Linked DNA regions of Saccharomyces cerevisiae S288C. The gene in region 1 interacts genetically with each later gene. Each region holds a gene or a part of one and is shown on either strand. Other genes may lie near its edges. The genes, in order: TLD1 and CRH1.

What was found.
Region 2: of TLD1 (region 1) and CRH1, extra expression of one rescues a mutant of the other (dosage rescue), as found in Saccharomyces cerevisiae (one study listed by BioGRID).

What each region holds. Positions count from the first base shown.
Region 1 is NC_001136.10:1,010,259-1,021,956, forward strand, and holds TLD1 (triglyceride-associated lipolysis regulator TLD1), read left to right. Parts: upstream 1-1,993; coding exon 1,994-2,701; downstream 2,702-11,698. Other genes in the region: DON1 (Don1p), read left to right, coding at 1-1,015; YDR274C (uncharacterized protein), read right to left, coding at 1,331-1,702; PMP3 (Pmp3p), read right to left, coding at 3,218-3,385; MTH1 (Mth1p), read right to left, coding at 4,143-5,444; RNH202 (Rnh202p), read left to right, coding at 9,110-10,162; exosome non-catalytic core subunit RRP45, read left to right, coding at 10,489-11,406.
Region 2 is NC_001139.9:875,414-880,326, reverse strand, and holds CRH1 (transglycosylase), read left to right. Parts: upstream 1-2,134; coding exon 2,135-3,658; downstream 3,659-4,913. UniProt on the Saccharomyces cerevisiae protein: Dual chitinase/transglycosylase that plays a role in cell wall architecture. Chitinase and transglycosylase activities are coupled. Required for the polysaccharide cross-linking at the septa and the cell wall.

The DNA.
Region 1 (11,698 bases):
TTCGGGATTGGAGCTTCCATCGCAAGACTATACAAACGTTGAAGAAAAAGAAAGTAGCCCGAAAACTGACTTTCCATTAATTACAAAGGAACATGTAAACACGAAAACTGACAGCAATATTCTCGATTATCCCACCATAGGCGATTTAGTTTCCTCAGTAGAGAAATTATGTGTCTTGAAAGAATTGAAGATAGCATTTCCAGAAGTAGATGATACATTAATTAAAGCCATTTTAATTGCCTCCCAAGGGGTTTTGGAGCCGGCATTCAATTCTTTACTCTACTACTCAAGTCCGGAGGAAAACACTGACTTTGCATTACCAATGAAGCCGATAAGTGTGGAAGACTATAGTAAAATAAATGTGTCTGAGATTTTGCAACGTGAAATATTCGATGATATTGAAGACGAATTTTCTGGTCAAGGAATAAATGGCTCCATGGTAATTTCAAAAATTGAATCAGAACTAAGTTCTTTGGCCGAACACATTGGCAACATTAGCACCCCCGGATCGAATAGAGAAGTCGCCGAATCGACTAGGAACGTGGCTGTTGCAGAGGGCCATAATACAATTTTATCAAACGAAGATAGTATACTCAAGGGAAAAGAGAAGGGAAAAGAGGAGGAAAAGGAGAAGGGAGAAGAAAAGGGAGTTAACAGCTTAAAAGGCGCCGCTGTGAAAGTTGTTGCGAAGTCATTGAAGAATAATCGCATTCCCGTCACTGTGAAGAGAAATGAGCCTTCAAACAATTTATTTGACGTTTTAAACTGCGACGAAAGCGAGGAAGAAGAAGAGCAAGATGTCGAAACCAATACGTCGAATCAAGAAAGGAAGAACCAGGGCGGTAATACTGAAGTGCCGGAGGCTCAGCGTGACAGTGCAGATAGGTTACCTGCCAAGGACGACGGTGGATACAAATCTGCCTTTGGCACTGATAGTTGTGGTCTATTTGCAGCTGACGCTAAAGATGAAAAAAAGCAGGTTCATCCATCTAGACAAGAATTAAGTTTTACGTAGTGTATAGCGGTAATGTTTATTAACTCTTTCGGCAAAGTGCGTTTGGGCTCGCAATGAACAGACACCACCATTGCTTCTTCTGCGCTTATTTGCCTTTGTTGTATATCTAGTTCTCAAAATGGAGTCATTCATCAGTCGATGTGTGGGCGGAAATGACGTTCATCTAGCAATGGCACACTAGTTTTTACTCAACAATTCAAACTCAATGGAAAGCCAGGAAGTTAGCGCCGGGAAACTTCAGGACAATATAAAAACAGGACTAACGGAAGAAAATAATGTGGGCCTTTTTGAGCAACGCTGACGGTAAGTAGTTTCCTACGATCGTACAATCCCGGAAAATTGTAGTGGTGCAAGAAGGGAAAAGAATGATGGCGAAAAATGCACGCGCGTAAATAATGATTTGTCGAGTCCTATTGACCACAAAACCCGCGGAAACCTAGTTAGCCCAAAAGGAAATGGATAGCATATGAAAAACGAAACGAAACGTCCTTTTGCACGGCAGAAAGAGCTTAGTAGGACCCGGGACAAATGCAAGTTAGATTCCTTGATTCCCGAATGCTCGGTCTTGCGTTTCGCCGTGGCTGCATGGAAGGTCATCGTACGGGTACGGGCAGTCTGGCTGAGTGGTGCCGCCAAAGTGCAATAGCTGTCAGTAGGGCGTGAGGAATGTAAAAGGCAAGAAAACATGTACGAGGGAAGAGAAGGGGGCAAAAGAAAGATAATAGGAACGGTGTAGATGAACTAGAAAAGGTTCAAGAGATGATAAACGTGAAGGGAGTGTCATATCTACCGACATAAAGATAGAGATCTTTTTTTTTCCTTTATTTTTTTTTTTGATTTTTTTTTTTGATTTTCTTGATATTAGTTTTTAGAAGTCCTTTGACGGGGCAGCCGGAGAATATATACCAACGGCATTCTATTGTCTTTTTTTCTTCCTTCCTTGCCAGGCATCTGCATCCATTATTGCCTTTAGTTACAATGTTTTTTTTCCCGAAGCTTAGAAAACTTATAGGTTCAACTGTGATCGATCACGATACCAAGAACTCATCAGGAAAGGAAGAGATCATGTCAAATAGCCGATTAGCACTTGTTATTATCAACCACGCCTTTGATAAGGTACTATCTTTGACGTGGCACTGCGGGATATTATCCGAAATAAGATCAGGACTGATGTTAATGTTTGGCATTTTCCAGTTGATGTGCTCTTTGGGTGTCATCGTATTGCTGTTGCCTATTATCATACTGGACGCGATCGATCTATTCCTCTACATGTGCAGGTTGCTTGATTACGGTTGCAAGTTATTCCACTACAATAGATCATCATTACCGGTGGCAGATGGAAAAGAAAAGACCAGTGGTCCCATAAGCGGAAAGGAGGAAATAGTTATTGATGAGGAGATAATTAATATGCTAAATGAATCCTCAGAATCATTGATCAATCATACTACAGCTGGTCTGGAATATGATATTAGTTCAGGTAGTGTTAACAAAAGTAGGCGTTTGAATTCAACTAGTACAGTTACATTTGTGAAGCAGAATAAACTTGTTAATGAAAGGAGGGAAGACGCCTACTACGAGGAAGAGGATGATGATTTCCTATCAAATCCGAATTATGATAAGATATCATTGATCGAAAAATCATTCACGAGTCGTTTTGAAGTGGCTTGTGAGCAGAAAGCTGCTTAAATTGATAATCAAGGTCAAGGCAACGCAACGCCACTGCTAAGAACACTTATTGCTACAGAAAGGAAACTAAAAATAATTATAAGGCTAGAGAGAAATAAAAACAAAATAAGAGAGATAATATGGGTAAGGGTCTGCCACCCATCTGATAAAAGGCTGTTCTATCTTTTGGAACTCTACAACACAGGTAAACGGATGATACTGGCTATATTTATATAGATAAACAAACTTGCAGGACAGATAGTTAAGCGTCTATATCATGTGTATTTTAAGCGAAGAAAAAAGTACAAAAATGATAAAAGGCAAAAAAGATGAGAAGTTTTTTTTGTGATAAAATTAATTATTAAAAAATACACACGTAGTTAAAATTAACAGCGGGGGAGGAAACCTTAAGAGAAAGAGAAACAAAAAAAAAGAAAGGAAACAAATAAAAATGAGGGTGACCCGAACATGTTGATACCGTTTCCTAATACTGCTTCCTTATTTCATTTGATAGTTACTTTCGTTTATTGAATGAGCTTAATCTTGTAGGACAATGTACAAGGCATATAGCATACCTGGGAACCAAGCCAAAATGGTCAAAATGATATCCACTATACAGTCAGTACCCCACCCACGGGCTAGAAAAACGGCGACTGGTGGTAAGAAAAGGGATAATATAATGTTAATGATCTTGGCAGAATCCATTGTTGTATTGTGCTGTGCTGTTTAGTTCAAAATGTATAATCAATTGTATTATACTGGCGAAAAACAACAACCGATAGTAAATTTTCTTCTTTTTTTCCTTTCCCTCTTCCAAAACAAAAACACTCACTTCCTCTTTTGTATTTATAGAGGCGCCCATCGCAAAATAACCAGGACCCCCTTTTGAGGGCGTGGTTAAAGGGCACCCAGAGCCCACACCCATTGCATCTTCCGCTATTAGGGGACTGCGGAAGTGAGGGGAGCAGTAAATAGTGATCTTTGTAATTTTCTGCAAAATCCCTCTCGCTGTCTCGGGTTTTTCGATTCAGAGGACCTTCCCCCCCCCATGTTCCGAGATCGGTTTTGGTGGTTAGAAGGCCGGAGGAAAGACATTTACCGCTTGCGCGCGGCTTCTTCTGTATGCTGTGCTCAACTACCAAGAGAAGGATTACGCGCACGGATACGTTGGATGTCTGCGATTGGTGATGCTAAGAACTAAAGGTATTTCGTCATCGTATGGTTTGATCTTCGCTACCCTTGACTCTTTACTGCGATAACGGTACCACGTTCCCATAAAATTCTTATTACTAAATCTCTATAAAGCTGCAACAGCTAGTTTGTATATATAAATCATTGGCGCTTCTTCCTCAATTCCTTGGGAATTTGGAGCTCCTCTATTAAAACTGATGTCCATGGGATAGTATTGATACAATCGAAGAGTCTCCAAAAAAACCATCGGGAAGGTTTCTTTTTAGTATCTTCAGGATACTGAATCCGGCTGCCAATCCAATCCTAATCTTTGGTAAACTTGTGCCTGACATTGCGACCATATCGTAGCCTTTTCTTCTTTAGATAAGCTGACTTTGTTTTTTCCCTGTTGATTTGTTGCGGCGCTTGATCTCATCATCAATTCATCAAGGTTATTATTGGGGTTTTTCAACTGAATGTTCTTCAATAAAGCCTTTTTCAGAAGCGATTTTGTTTCTGTGCTGTTTTTCCGCGGTATTATGCTTGGTGGGGGCATGTCCGGTCTTTTTAAGTTGGACTGTTGTAACTTCCATTTCTTATATTCGGAGCATCTTTGTTTGAAATCAAACCTGCATTGTGCCTCTACTGCTATATTTAAGAGGTAATTTTCGATGATATTTCTCCATTCCGGTTTCGACAAATTCATGACGGCTTCATTTCTACCAGTTATATGCTCATGTCTTTTTCTAGCGGTCGCTACTGTATATTTGGCGCTGGTTAGTTTGAATTCATAATCTAAGTTAGCCTCCATGTACAGATCCGAATGGACTAACGTTGCGATTATGGTCTCATCGCTAGAATATAGTGGTAATAATTGTAACCTAAACTGGGGCATATTATCACCCACCGTTATTACTTCCGGTAGTTGATTACCCCATTCGGGCCTTAACTTCTCGACTATCAATAACGATCTTATATCGTTTAAATCCCAATCCAATAACTCTCTCTTGGTAAACTTGGGACGCCCGTTACAGAGAATGTTGGATGGGTCTGCTAATAGAATATCTGGCGAATACATGTCATAAAACGTTTTGGGTAATGCTTCATCCAGGCTCACTCTCGTGATTAACTTGTGGTTAGGAAATTCGGAGAACGAAGAGTCATTAGTTAGTTGCGTGTGCACAGTAGAGGGGGCAGAAAATATACTTGATTGATAAGACGAGGCATTATCCGAAAGTAAACTCCCACTTTCAGCCACGCTTGATCTCCTGCTCGCTGAATGCATACTGCTTGAATGATGTGACCTTCTGCTAGGTGAGGAGGCCAATAATCTTTTTTTAATCTCATCTCTAGCTCTATCAGTGTACTCCGGAGGAGCATTCACAAAGTTCTCTCTTCTCGAAGAAGTCGTGGATTGAGAGCTACTCATTGATAGTGGCAAACTTTGAAAAGAAGCATTATCACTGCCACTCATCGTGTTTTCCGGAATGGCCTGTAGGGAGCTTGCAAACCCATGATTACTGTTAGTCGATTCTAATGGACGTCGTTGTAAAACTTGGTTTTTCGAAGTTGCTGGTGGTGGTGAAACAAACATTCCTTTGAGTGTGTGTACTCTATGCGTTCGAATAAAATTCTCTTTGTATTGCTGCTTGTGGTTTCGCTATTGAGAACTTTCAATATACGTTAAAAAATACTTGGAGTGAAATGAACAAATCTTTTTGTATGTTTCCTTAAGTTATTAAAAAACTCCATGCTGTTTTTTAATAAAAAAAGAAGCAGTTACAGGCGCATTACAAAGTTTGAGAAGAAAGGAAAAATGTCATTTGGTTATATAAATTTTTTTTCTTAATGGAGATTGAGGCAGCAATAAAATGTGGGATGAAAAAAAAAAAAAAAGGCACTTGAATAAGGGGTAGAATGGCAGATATTCCATGTCTACGGTAGTTTCACTGGAGAAATGGACTCGTATTTTCTCTCACGATGAATTTTTCCACAAAATTATAAGATGAGGAAATGTGTGGGGCAGTCATCCTAACAAAACTCGCACGGACTCCATTTCCCCGGACCTTTTTCCCGCTTGTTCTAGGGAATAATTTCGGAATAATTTTAGGGACTTCATAGTATGACTGGGTTTCAAGGAACGGAAAAACTGGTTAGTACCGCGTTATTCTGCCATTTGCTGATCGTTTTAGTGGAGGAGCGGAGGAGGGGGCGGGGTGATAACTTTTTTTCCGCTTTACAATAGAGAAAAGTCCAAGTAAGTCTCGGCGTGAGATGGCCTTGATGTTATTAGTACCGGCGGCTCCCTAATAGTTTACTAATACGCATACCTTATGTCATATTTTTCCATCAAATATTGATCAGTAGAAAACCTTGGCAATGTACATAGAGCTACACTTTTTTGGATATGGAGTATTAGAGAAAACTGGGTTTGGTGGGCGAAGAGAGATGTTCCCTACCTCCTCAAGAGTCTTCAACTATGAATTTCACACCATATCCTTATCTAAACGAACTATGGGGTGGTCAGCTAACGCAAGTATTGAATTCTTTCTCTTAAAGTACCCCTAAGTTGAAGAATTCATTTTAATCTTCCTTGCTTTGTCCCCCCCCCCTAGAAGCATAGTTTTGTCTTAACGCTGTAACGGTCTTGTATGCTTATTTTGGTGGTAGGGATCGGTTTGCACCTTGGAAATGCTATGTTTACTTTATTAAAAAAATAATTAGTTTTCCTCCAAAACGTAAACAAATATAAGTTTGAGAGACAAAGAAAAGAATGAAAGAGTCTTATATATATATAAGTTAGCTGGTAGCATAACCATTTTTCTCGACTTATTTATAAAACATTCGACATACTTCCATATTTCAAGCATTAATATGAGACCTAGAATTTTTTCAAGCTAACTTATGTACATTGTAGTTATATGATGAGGAAAAATGTACACAACAGCTTGTGCTGTTTATTCCCATCGTATGTTGCGGTAATGCAAACAGCAATAGAAAAAAAATTGATATAAGAAGAATATGACTAGTAGCATCACAGTGAAACAGTAACGGTAAATGAATCAGCATGTGAATTTTTCTAGAAAATAAAAAAGAAACTCCGAAGCGGGGAGTCGAACCCCGGTCTCCACGGTGAGAACGTGATGTGATAGCCGTTACACTACATCGGATTGTACCTTGGTGATAGTTTGACCTAAAAGAAACGTTCATTATGTAATGAAGAAAGCCAATTATTCGGTCGCAAATCAAGGTTCTGTTAGGGAATATGATTTTCTTTGACTCTCAATGAGTTCTCTTATGACTATTTAGGGGCTAAATTATTTGTTATGGCAATATTATTAGGTAGGAAAGATACGACTTTACTGAAATTGTTGGAAATACAAAAAGGAGCAGATCATTCCACATAATGATATCATTATTCCCTCTTTCATTTAAAAAATCACCGTTTTTATTTTATTAATTATCAGTCTCTGCATTTTCAGATTCTGTTAAATTTGATAAATGTTTTTCGCCGTTTATAAAGTATTTTTGCATCATGTATGATAATGTATTAGTAATATGAAAACTGGTGTTATTAATAATCAGTGGTCAGGATGTAGTATTAGTTTGGAATAAAAGCAAATCTCCTCATGCTATATAAGAGGAATATAGAAAATACAGGCCAGTTGTTCTTATTAAACATGAACATAATAGTGGGTCTAGCAGTTACTATACATTTAAATTGGCGACTACTATTATTCGTACATTCGACTATAGCAGTATTTCCAATTAATGGATCTTTAACTCAGCTATTATACTGTTTGAGTTCCTCGTTTAACATTTCCCTGTCCAACAGGGACTTAAAAGTATGTAGGGTTTGCATTAATATACAGTAGAGACACTTAAATTGTTACTATAGTAACTCAAGTTACTATTCGTGAGAATATTGACTTATTATTCTTCATGAATAGTCGATTAGTAATCAAATGAAGTAATCAGATGTGCAATGCGTCTTTAATGTTTCAGACTGGAGAATGATACGTAGCTACATAATAATCTGGGTACAGTAAACTCAATGATCTATTACCTGAATGATTAATCTGATGCTTGCAATATAACAATTCATCTCGTGACATTAACCATAAGAATTACTCTCATCATTGCTATATCGGCAAGGTTTAATATGTCCAGTCGGAGTGTATTTTATATCTCTTTCTTTTAGAATAAGAATATCTGCTTTTATTCTTAATCAATACTACAACCTAACTACTAACTATCAACACTGTTAATTACGATTCGCTCCAACAAATTTGGTTTTGTGGATTCTTAAATTCTCGAGAAAAACTTCTAATATATCTTGTATACCAGATACTGTAGCCTTTAGCAACGATAGAATACGAACAGTTCTCTTAAAATTCGCCTATTTCTCATACCGTTGCAGATATAACTAAAGTATTGACATTCAGTGACATCTGGCGCTGATATCATTATTTAACACACGTATGTTTGCGTGGCATTGTCATTTTTAAGAGCAGAGAAAGAAACAATGAGCTACTTGAGTGTGACAAGTTGAAAAGTCCACCAATTTCACGTTGAATTAGGATTCATATATGAAATTCTAGTCATTAATTAGAATTGTAAGTTTCTGAGCTTTTTTTTCCTAGTAAATTAAACTTGTCTAATACATCCAGTTGTGATGTATTCTATATCTCAGTTCTACAGTAGCACGAAGTTTCCCGGCCTCTCTATTCAATAAATTCAGCTATCGCTGATTATCAACAGCAGCAACGAATAAAGCATAAAAGAACAGAAAAATTCTTCTACAAATTTATTCTGTAAAGATTCAGCTTCTTTCGTGAATTTCTAAGTTCATGAGGGGAATTTAAGTATGGCGTTTCTTCGTAGCGCCATTGTCTTGAGCCAAAATGGAACTCTAAAAATTTTCACGACATTTTACTAGTCAGTAAAGTGAGCATATACATATAAGAAGAAATTTCAAAAGGTAAAAAATGGAGCAACTTCCAGCTCATTATCTTTTCAATGTTGTCGATGCCATAGTTGGATTATGAAATCTCATATTCATAACCACAACGCGTTTTTTTCCTTTTAAGGCACTACAGACTCCATTCTCACAAGTTTGTCAAAAGCACGAGCGCGATGAGAATTAAAGTCAGATCTGGTTAATGATTCTGGTACAACAGCAGAAACAAATCGAGTACAAATTTAATCTTATTCTGTCGCAATAGTTGACTTTCTTTTCTGGCCTCTCGAACAAAAAGCATGACCGTTTCCAACATTGGGGGGGAAGAACGACTAATAATTTTACCAGACGATTATGAAACTTCGAAAACTATAAACACTTTTACACTGCCGCCACCTTCCAATATTACATCCAAACCTCGTATCGAGCTCTTCGAAAATATTAATGGAAAACTTTACGAAATAAGATCTTTTCAATTCGGCAAAGGGCCCTCGTATTCACATGAGGAAGATTTGGCAAATGATAAATATCACTATACTAAGGAAAATCACCCGATCAAATCAACTTTCATTGTAAATACGTCTGATCCCACCGATGGTTATGTTTTTAACTCAAGCAAAATACACTTTTGTTCTTTATACGATATTGCTTTTAGTTTGATTGGATTTTACTATAGAAACAGTGTTTCAGCAGATGAACAAGATTACTCCAATTCAAGTGATACTGGTGAAAACCAAAAAAGCAACAGCAAAACCAATGAGAAATTTCTTACGGTGCGTGATTACCATGATTTCTTAACGGATAACCATGACAAGAATTGGGAAAACATTTCTTTAAGTCGTCTCAAGAGTGGCTTAGCAAAAGTTAGTGAAACCATTGAGGAAGCTGGTGACGTCTATTACAAGATCACATCTGCAATGATAACACAATTTTTGTTAGGCAAGGTATCAAAAATTGTAGAAAACTTTCCTCCAAGTATCCCTACACTTAAAAATGCCCCAACGGAAATAAAACAGTGCTACAAGGTAGTTATGGCTACAAATCTTTTAGTTTCCCTGATTCCAAGGGCGGCCTACCATAATTTACTTACCTTTTCACCTACAATGGATAGTGGTTGCCTAAATCCGGATATAAAAGCTAGCTTCATAGAACTCGAAAACTACGAGACTACGAACGAATTACAGAATGCTGAAAGAGAATTACTGATGAAAAGTGCCATGAATGTAGGCCTAAATTCGAATGGCAGGGTTTCATTGCCAGTGAAAAAAGTTACCAAAAAAATAGTTCAAAATAAAAAACCAAAAGTAGCCATAGGAAAAGGGGCCATTGATGGATTTTTTAAACGTAAGTAGCTAGTATCATAATTAAACAGCAATTTGAATGCTATAACTCGGTGGTGATGACCTCAGTGCGAGATAATTACACAATATTGTCACTACCAACGAATGGGCTACCTTTTTTTTCCTTTCTCGAATTCAAGAAAAAATTAACAACTTTTCCCTCGATGATGTTAACAAATGTCTGAATATAAAGGAATAGGAAACGGTTGCTAGATTGTATTTACCTTACCAACTTTCAAGTTTTTTTTCTAACTTCCTAACTTTCAGTCTCGATACATTAATCAACAGGACGTAGTGATTGCAAAATTGTTCAGAATATACATTAGATTAAAAGACAAATGGCCAAAGACATTGAGATATCCGCATCCGAGTCAAAATTTATCTTAGAAGCACTGAGACAGAATTATAGGTTGGACGGCCGCTCCTTTGATCAATTTCGTGACGTGGAAATAACGTTTGGTAAAGAATTTGGTGATGTTAGCGTAAAAATGGGCAACACCAAAGTTCACTGCAGGATTAGTTGTCAAATAGCACAACCATACGAAGACAGGCCATTTGAAGGATTATTTGTAATATCTACAGAAATATCTCCTATGGCTGGTTCTCAATTTGAAAATGGAAATATCACGGGGGAAGATGAAGTTTTATGTTCAAGAATAATTGAAAAATCTGTTAGGCGGTCGGGCGCATTGGACGTGGAAGGACTATGTATCGTTGCTGGCAGTAAATGCTGGGCTGTGAGAGCTGATGTACATTTCCTGGATTGTGATGGTGGATTTATTGACGCTTCGTGTATTGCCGTCATGGCAGGATTGATGCATTTTAAGAAACCAGATATAACTGTCCATGGCGAGCAGATCATTGTTCATCCTGTTAATGAAAGAGAGCCAGTTCCACTAGGTATACTGCATATTCCAATATGTGTAACTTTTTCTTTCTTCAATCCTCAAGACACCGAGGAAAACATAAAAGGTGAGACTAACTCAGAAATTTCCATCATTGATGCAACATTGAAAGAGGAACTACTGCGAGATGGTGTATTGACGGTTACGCTAAACAAAAACCGTGAAGTGGTACAAGTTTCCAAAGCGGGTGGTTTACCAATGGATGCGTTGACGCTAATGAAATGTTGTCACGAGGCTTACAGCATTATTGAGAAAATAACTGATCAAATACTGCAGCTTTTAAAGGAGGATTCAGAAAAGAGAAACAAGTATGCAGCCATGCTTACATCTGAAAATGCCCGCGAGATCTAATATTAACGAAAAAACTGAAATAAAAGCAACGCTTATACATATACATGCATGCATTAATATATGTATATATATCGGTACGTATAGATTGTAAAATTACACTTACTACTAAAGGCAGTATGAAAGACGCCCGCAGTTTTTTTCCTACTGTTTTCTTGACTGCGGTGTTCAAAAACATAAAAATCATTAAATTACTATAAAACAAACGCATACTGCGAAGAAAAAAGGCTCGGCTATAAATGCATATGAGAAAATATTATCTTTTGCCTCCCTGCTTAATTTCTGAAGGCATGTA
Region 2 (4,913 bases), on another chromosome or scaffold:
TTGTAATAACGCTGATGATATGTTGTTTTGATGAATTTTCTCCCAAAGCTATCTTTTATGACACAACAATGGACAAACTAGCACTATAACGATCGCAACAAATCTAACAGGGTGATCAATAAGGCGGAATGCACCTACTTCAACTCCTTAGCAGCAAAATTAAATAATTTGCAATTTTTTTTTTCAAGCTTCGAAAAACGGCACTAGGAGCATTTGTCGTTTCTTTTTTCCGAGAGTAAGGTGACAATTTAATGGACTAGGAAAAACTCAAAACGATGAGATGACTCGGGAAAAAAATAGCAAAAAGAAGGAACATCGGTCAGAAAGGGAAATGACGATCCTTAGTGTTTCTTGAAATAAACGAATTTTGCGTACTTGTAACAAAATTACTTTTCATTACCCCTTACACTTGTGTAATGACAAATGTTTTTGTAAGGAATTATGTTCGCCCAGGAATAGATGACATAATCTTGATAACGTGAAACAGTTTAACGGGAGATTAACATGGTAGACATACGATGATGAAGATCTATTGTAAATTTCCAGGTTGAATACAAAACGGAACTAGTGTTCTTCCACAAACACGAATATCTTTTTATTTGCGAACAAGAATTGAGAAAAGAAAAAATACACGGTAAGATATATAGAAATAAGATGTACAGATCATTATACGCACCCTAAGGGACTAGTTTGTGTGAGTGAATGGCTGTGAAGTTTTATATTTATCTTTATCTAAAGAAGAATTTACCTGTTTTTTTCGGAAAACTAGTGCGCCAAGAGAGTAATTAGGTAGACCGGGTAGATTTTTCCGTAACCTTGGTGTCCCATTTTCTTAATGATAAGTATCGATCTGTGGAGAGGGGTAAAAAAACTTCTCCTCGAGGTTATGAGAACTCACAAAGGGAAATTGATATTTCTACACAGTAATATTATATATTCTTCTTTATACACTTCACCCATTATTCTATCACATTATGAATTCTTGTGTTTCAGCCCCATTAAATCTGATGACGGTTTTCCATTTTTGTGTCATATTTTTACATTGTGTATGATAACGTAGTAGCTTGTGAACGATAGGTAGTAATTAATTCTGTTGGTAATTAATTGTTGAACTGTAGTGTCAATCAAGAATAAATGCAGATCTTCTTATTCTATATAAGAGAAGTATAGAATACAGCCTTATTAGTAATATTAAACATGCTCATATGATTATCATGAAAGCATATTATGATTTCAATGTCATGACTTACATCCGTATATGTGCAAACACCAAGTTGATCATTTGAGCAATAGGTGTTTAACTTACTTTGCCCACAATGCCACTTAGTGTGTTATCATTCTCCATCGTGAAACATCAATGATGTGTGGCGTCCGATTACTTCATATGGTCACTAATGGATTAGTTATGAAGAAGTATGAGTAGCTATTTTAAGAGATTCTAATTCAAACATTATAGCAAACACAGAATTTCGGCAGACAAGTAAAATGTTATATCTTCGATATTTCAAGATGAAGCGGTGGCTCAATGGTAGAGCTTTCGACTCCAATTAAATCTTGGAAATTCCACGGAATAAGATTGCAATCGAAGGGTTGCAGGTTCAATTCCTGTCCGTTTCATTTTATTATTTAATTTTTTTTTTTTCGGAAAAAGAGGCTGGACAAATATCGCGAACCGCGTGAAGTGGCTTAGTTTTCCTTATTCGGTTGAATTGATGACGCGTTTTCCCAGCCCATCGATTTTTTTGGCGACTATTTCGATGGCGTTTTCCAGGAAAGTAAAAATAGATCTGAGCTATAATGCATTAGAACCTCTGAGGGCTTGCTTTTCGTGGTATGGGATACGAAAATGACATTATTAATTGCAAGGGCAGTTTCTTTTCGCTCGATCAAGAAGCAATGTTTCCGAATCGGGAATGTGATATAATTAGAGCGTATGGTTACTGGTTTCCCTCATGCAACAATGGATGTTATATAAATACTTGCTGGTTAGTAACATGAAAAAGAACAAAAGGTGAAACACTTTTGGAACTTTCAATAATTGCCTACTCCTCTCCATATTCTACATTTCTACTAAATAGCAAGAGAAAGGTTAAGATAATATAATATTCATAATAATTCAATACAGCAAAAAACCATGAAAGTGCTTGACCTACTAACGGTACTCAGTGCCTCTTCATTATTATCTACATTCGCGGCTGCCGAAAGTACTGCTACTGCAGACAGTACAACTGCAGCTTCTAGCACTGCTTCGTGTAACCCGTTAAAAACTACAGGTTGTACGCCGGATACAGCTTTGGCAACTAGTTTTAGCGAAGATTTCTCATCTTCATCCAAATGGTTTACCGACTTGAAGCACGCAGGTGAAATCAAGTACGGTTCAGACGGTTTGTCAATGACACTGGCGAAAAGATACGATAATCCAAGTTTGAAGTCTAACTTTTATATCATGTATGGTAAATTGGAAGTTATCTTAAAAGCTGCCAATGGTACCGGTATTGTTTCATCATTCTATTTACAAAGTGATGATTTGGATGAAATTGATATTGAATGGGTGGGTGGTGACAACACTCAGTTCCAATCTAACTTCTTTTCTAAAGGTGATACCACAACATACGACAGAGGCGAATTTCACGGTGTCGACACTCCTACCGACAAATTTCATAACTACACTTTAGATTGGGCGATGGACAAGACGACTTGGTACCTCGATGGAGAGTCTGTCAGAGTATTATCAAACACATCAAGTGAGGGTTACCCACAATCTCCTATGTACCTAATGATGGGTATCTGGGCCGGTGGTGACCCAGACAATGCTGCTGGTACCATTGAATGGGCTGGTGGTGAAACCAACTACAATGACGCTCCATTCACTATGTACATTGAAAAGGTCATTGTAACTGATTATTCTACCGGTAAAAAGTACACATATGGTGACCAATCTGGTTCTTGGGAATCTATTGAAGCTGACGGTGGTTCTATTTACGGCAGGTATGACCAAGCCCAAGAAGATTTCGCAGTTTTAGCCAACGGTGGTAGTATTTCCAGCAGCTCTACATCCTCTTCTACTGTATCTTCCTCGGCGTCTTCCACTGTATCTTCCTCGGTTTCTTCCACTGTGTCCTCCTCGGCTTCTTCCACTGTGTCTTCCTCGGTTTCTTCCACTGTATCTTCTTCGTCTTCTGTATCTTCCTCTTCATCCACATCTCCATCTTCTTCGACCGCTACTTCATCTAAAACACTTGCTTCCTCATCAGTCACCACATCTAGTTCCATTAGTTCATTCGAAAAGCAATCCTCCTCTTCATCCAAGAAAACAGTGGCTTCCTCTTCTACAAGTGAGTCCATTATTTCCTCCACTAAGACCCCAGCCACTGTTTCCTCTACCACTAGGTCTACAGTTGCCCCAACTACTCAACAATCTTCCGTATCATCGGACAGTCCTGTACAAGATAAGGGTGGTGTCGCAACATCAAGTAATGACGTGACCAGTTCTACTACCCAGATATCAAGCAAATACACATCTACAATCCAAAGTTCTTCCTCCGAAGCCAGCTCGACAAACTCTGTTCAAATTTCTAACGGTGCTGATTTAGCTCAGAGTTTACCAAGAGAGGGAAAACTTTTTTCCGTACTCGTAGCTTTACTAGCCTTGCTATAAGTGGAAAATTTCTTTTAGAACAATATTCGTAGATCACTAAGTAACATTTGAGACCGAAAAAAATAATAGCATAATAAAAATAAATACTAAATTTTAATACAACAGAAAGTCTTATACCTAAAGCATGATTTTTCCTTTTATTATTAAGGGTACGGTTCATACAAAGGAAATTTATGTCATCGTGTTTTAAAGAAAAAAAGAAAGCCCTGTAGGGGGCTCGAACCCCTAACCTTATGATTAAGAGTCATACGCGCTACCGATTGCGCCAACAAGGCTATTCTATTATTGGAAATCTGACCTCTCAGGTTTAATATGTAATTAAGAATCTATAGACTCGATTATCCACATTTCTTTCTTTTTTAGTCTTCTGAGATTTGGGTGAATAATTCTGAGAGATGGGTGAATTTCGAGATAATTGTTGGGATTCCATTGTTTGATAAAGGCTATAATATTAGGTATACAGAATATACTAGAAGTTCTCCTCGAGGATCTAGGAATCCTCAAAATGGAATCTATATTTCTACATACTAATATTACGATTATTCCTCATTCCGTTTTATATGTTTCATTATTACATTATCAATCCTCGCATTTCAGCTTCCTCTAACTTCAATGACCGCTTCTCATAACTTATGCCATCATCTAACACCGTATATGATAATATATTAGTAAAACGAATACTACTAAATAAAAGATAATTTAGAGTTTCATTCCAACAATAGATGATAGTTGTAGTCCTTATTCTAACAGTTTATAATTCTCGAAGAAAACTTCTATTACATTTATGCCACAGTTACCCTTTCTAATAGGAAACTAAGTTCCATAAATTGTCATCAAGTTCTAACGCTGCCAAGATAGAAAACCATCAAACGTTAAAATATAAAGTGCGGTTGGATAAAAACTAGAGACATCGACGCTGTACGAAGAAAATATCGAAAGCTATCTCAAGGAACATAAAAATCCAATTCTGTAACAATTATATGCTGAATAGGTAAATTACAAAATAGAATTGTTAGATTTCGTTCTTAGCGAAGACAATAATGATATATAACATATATCAAAACATTCTCCTTTTGAGGTATTGAAAACATGCAAGTAGAAAGGCAATTGAACGTTTTATGTAATGGTTTCTTATCTTGATTTTATACGTCACCTCTCATTAATCCTTTTATCCCCCCAATTCTCATGGTTCAGTTTCCATTGAATCTGATGACAGTTGAGTTTTATTCTACCGACTCCATAACTTGTGCCAACT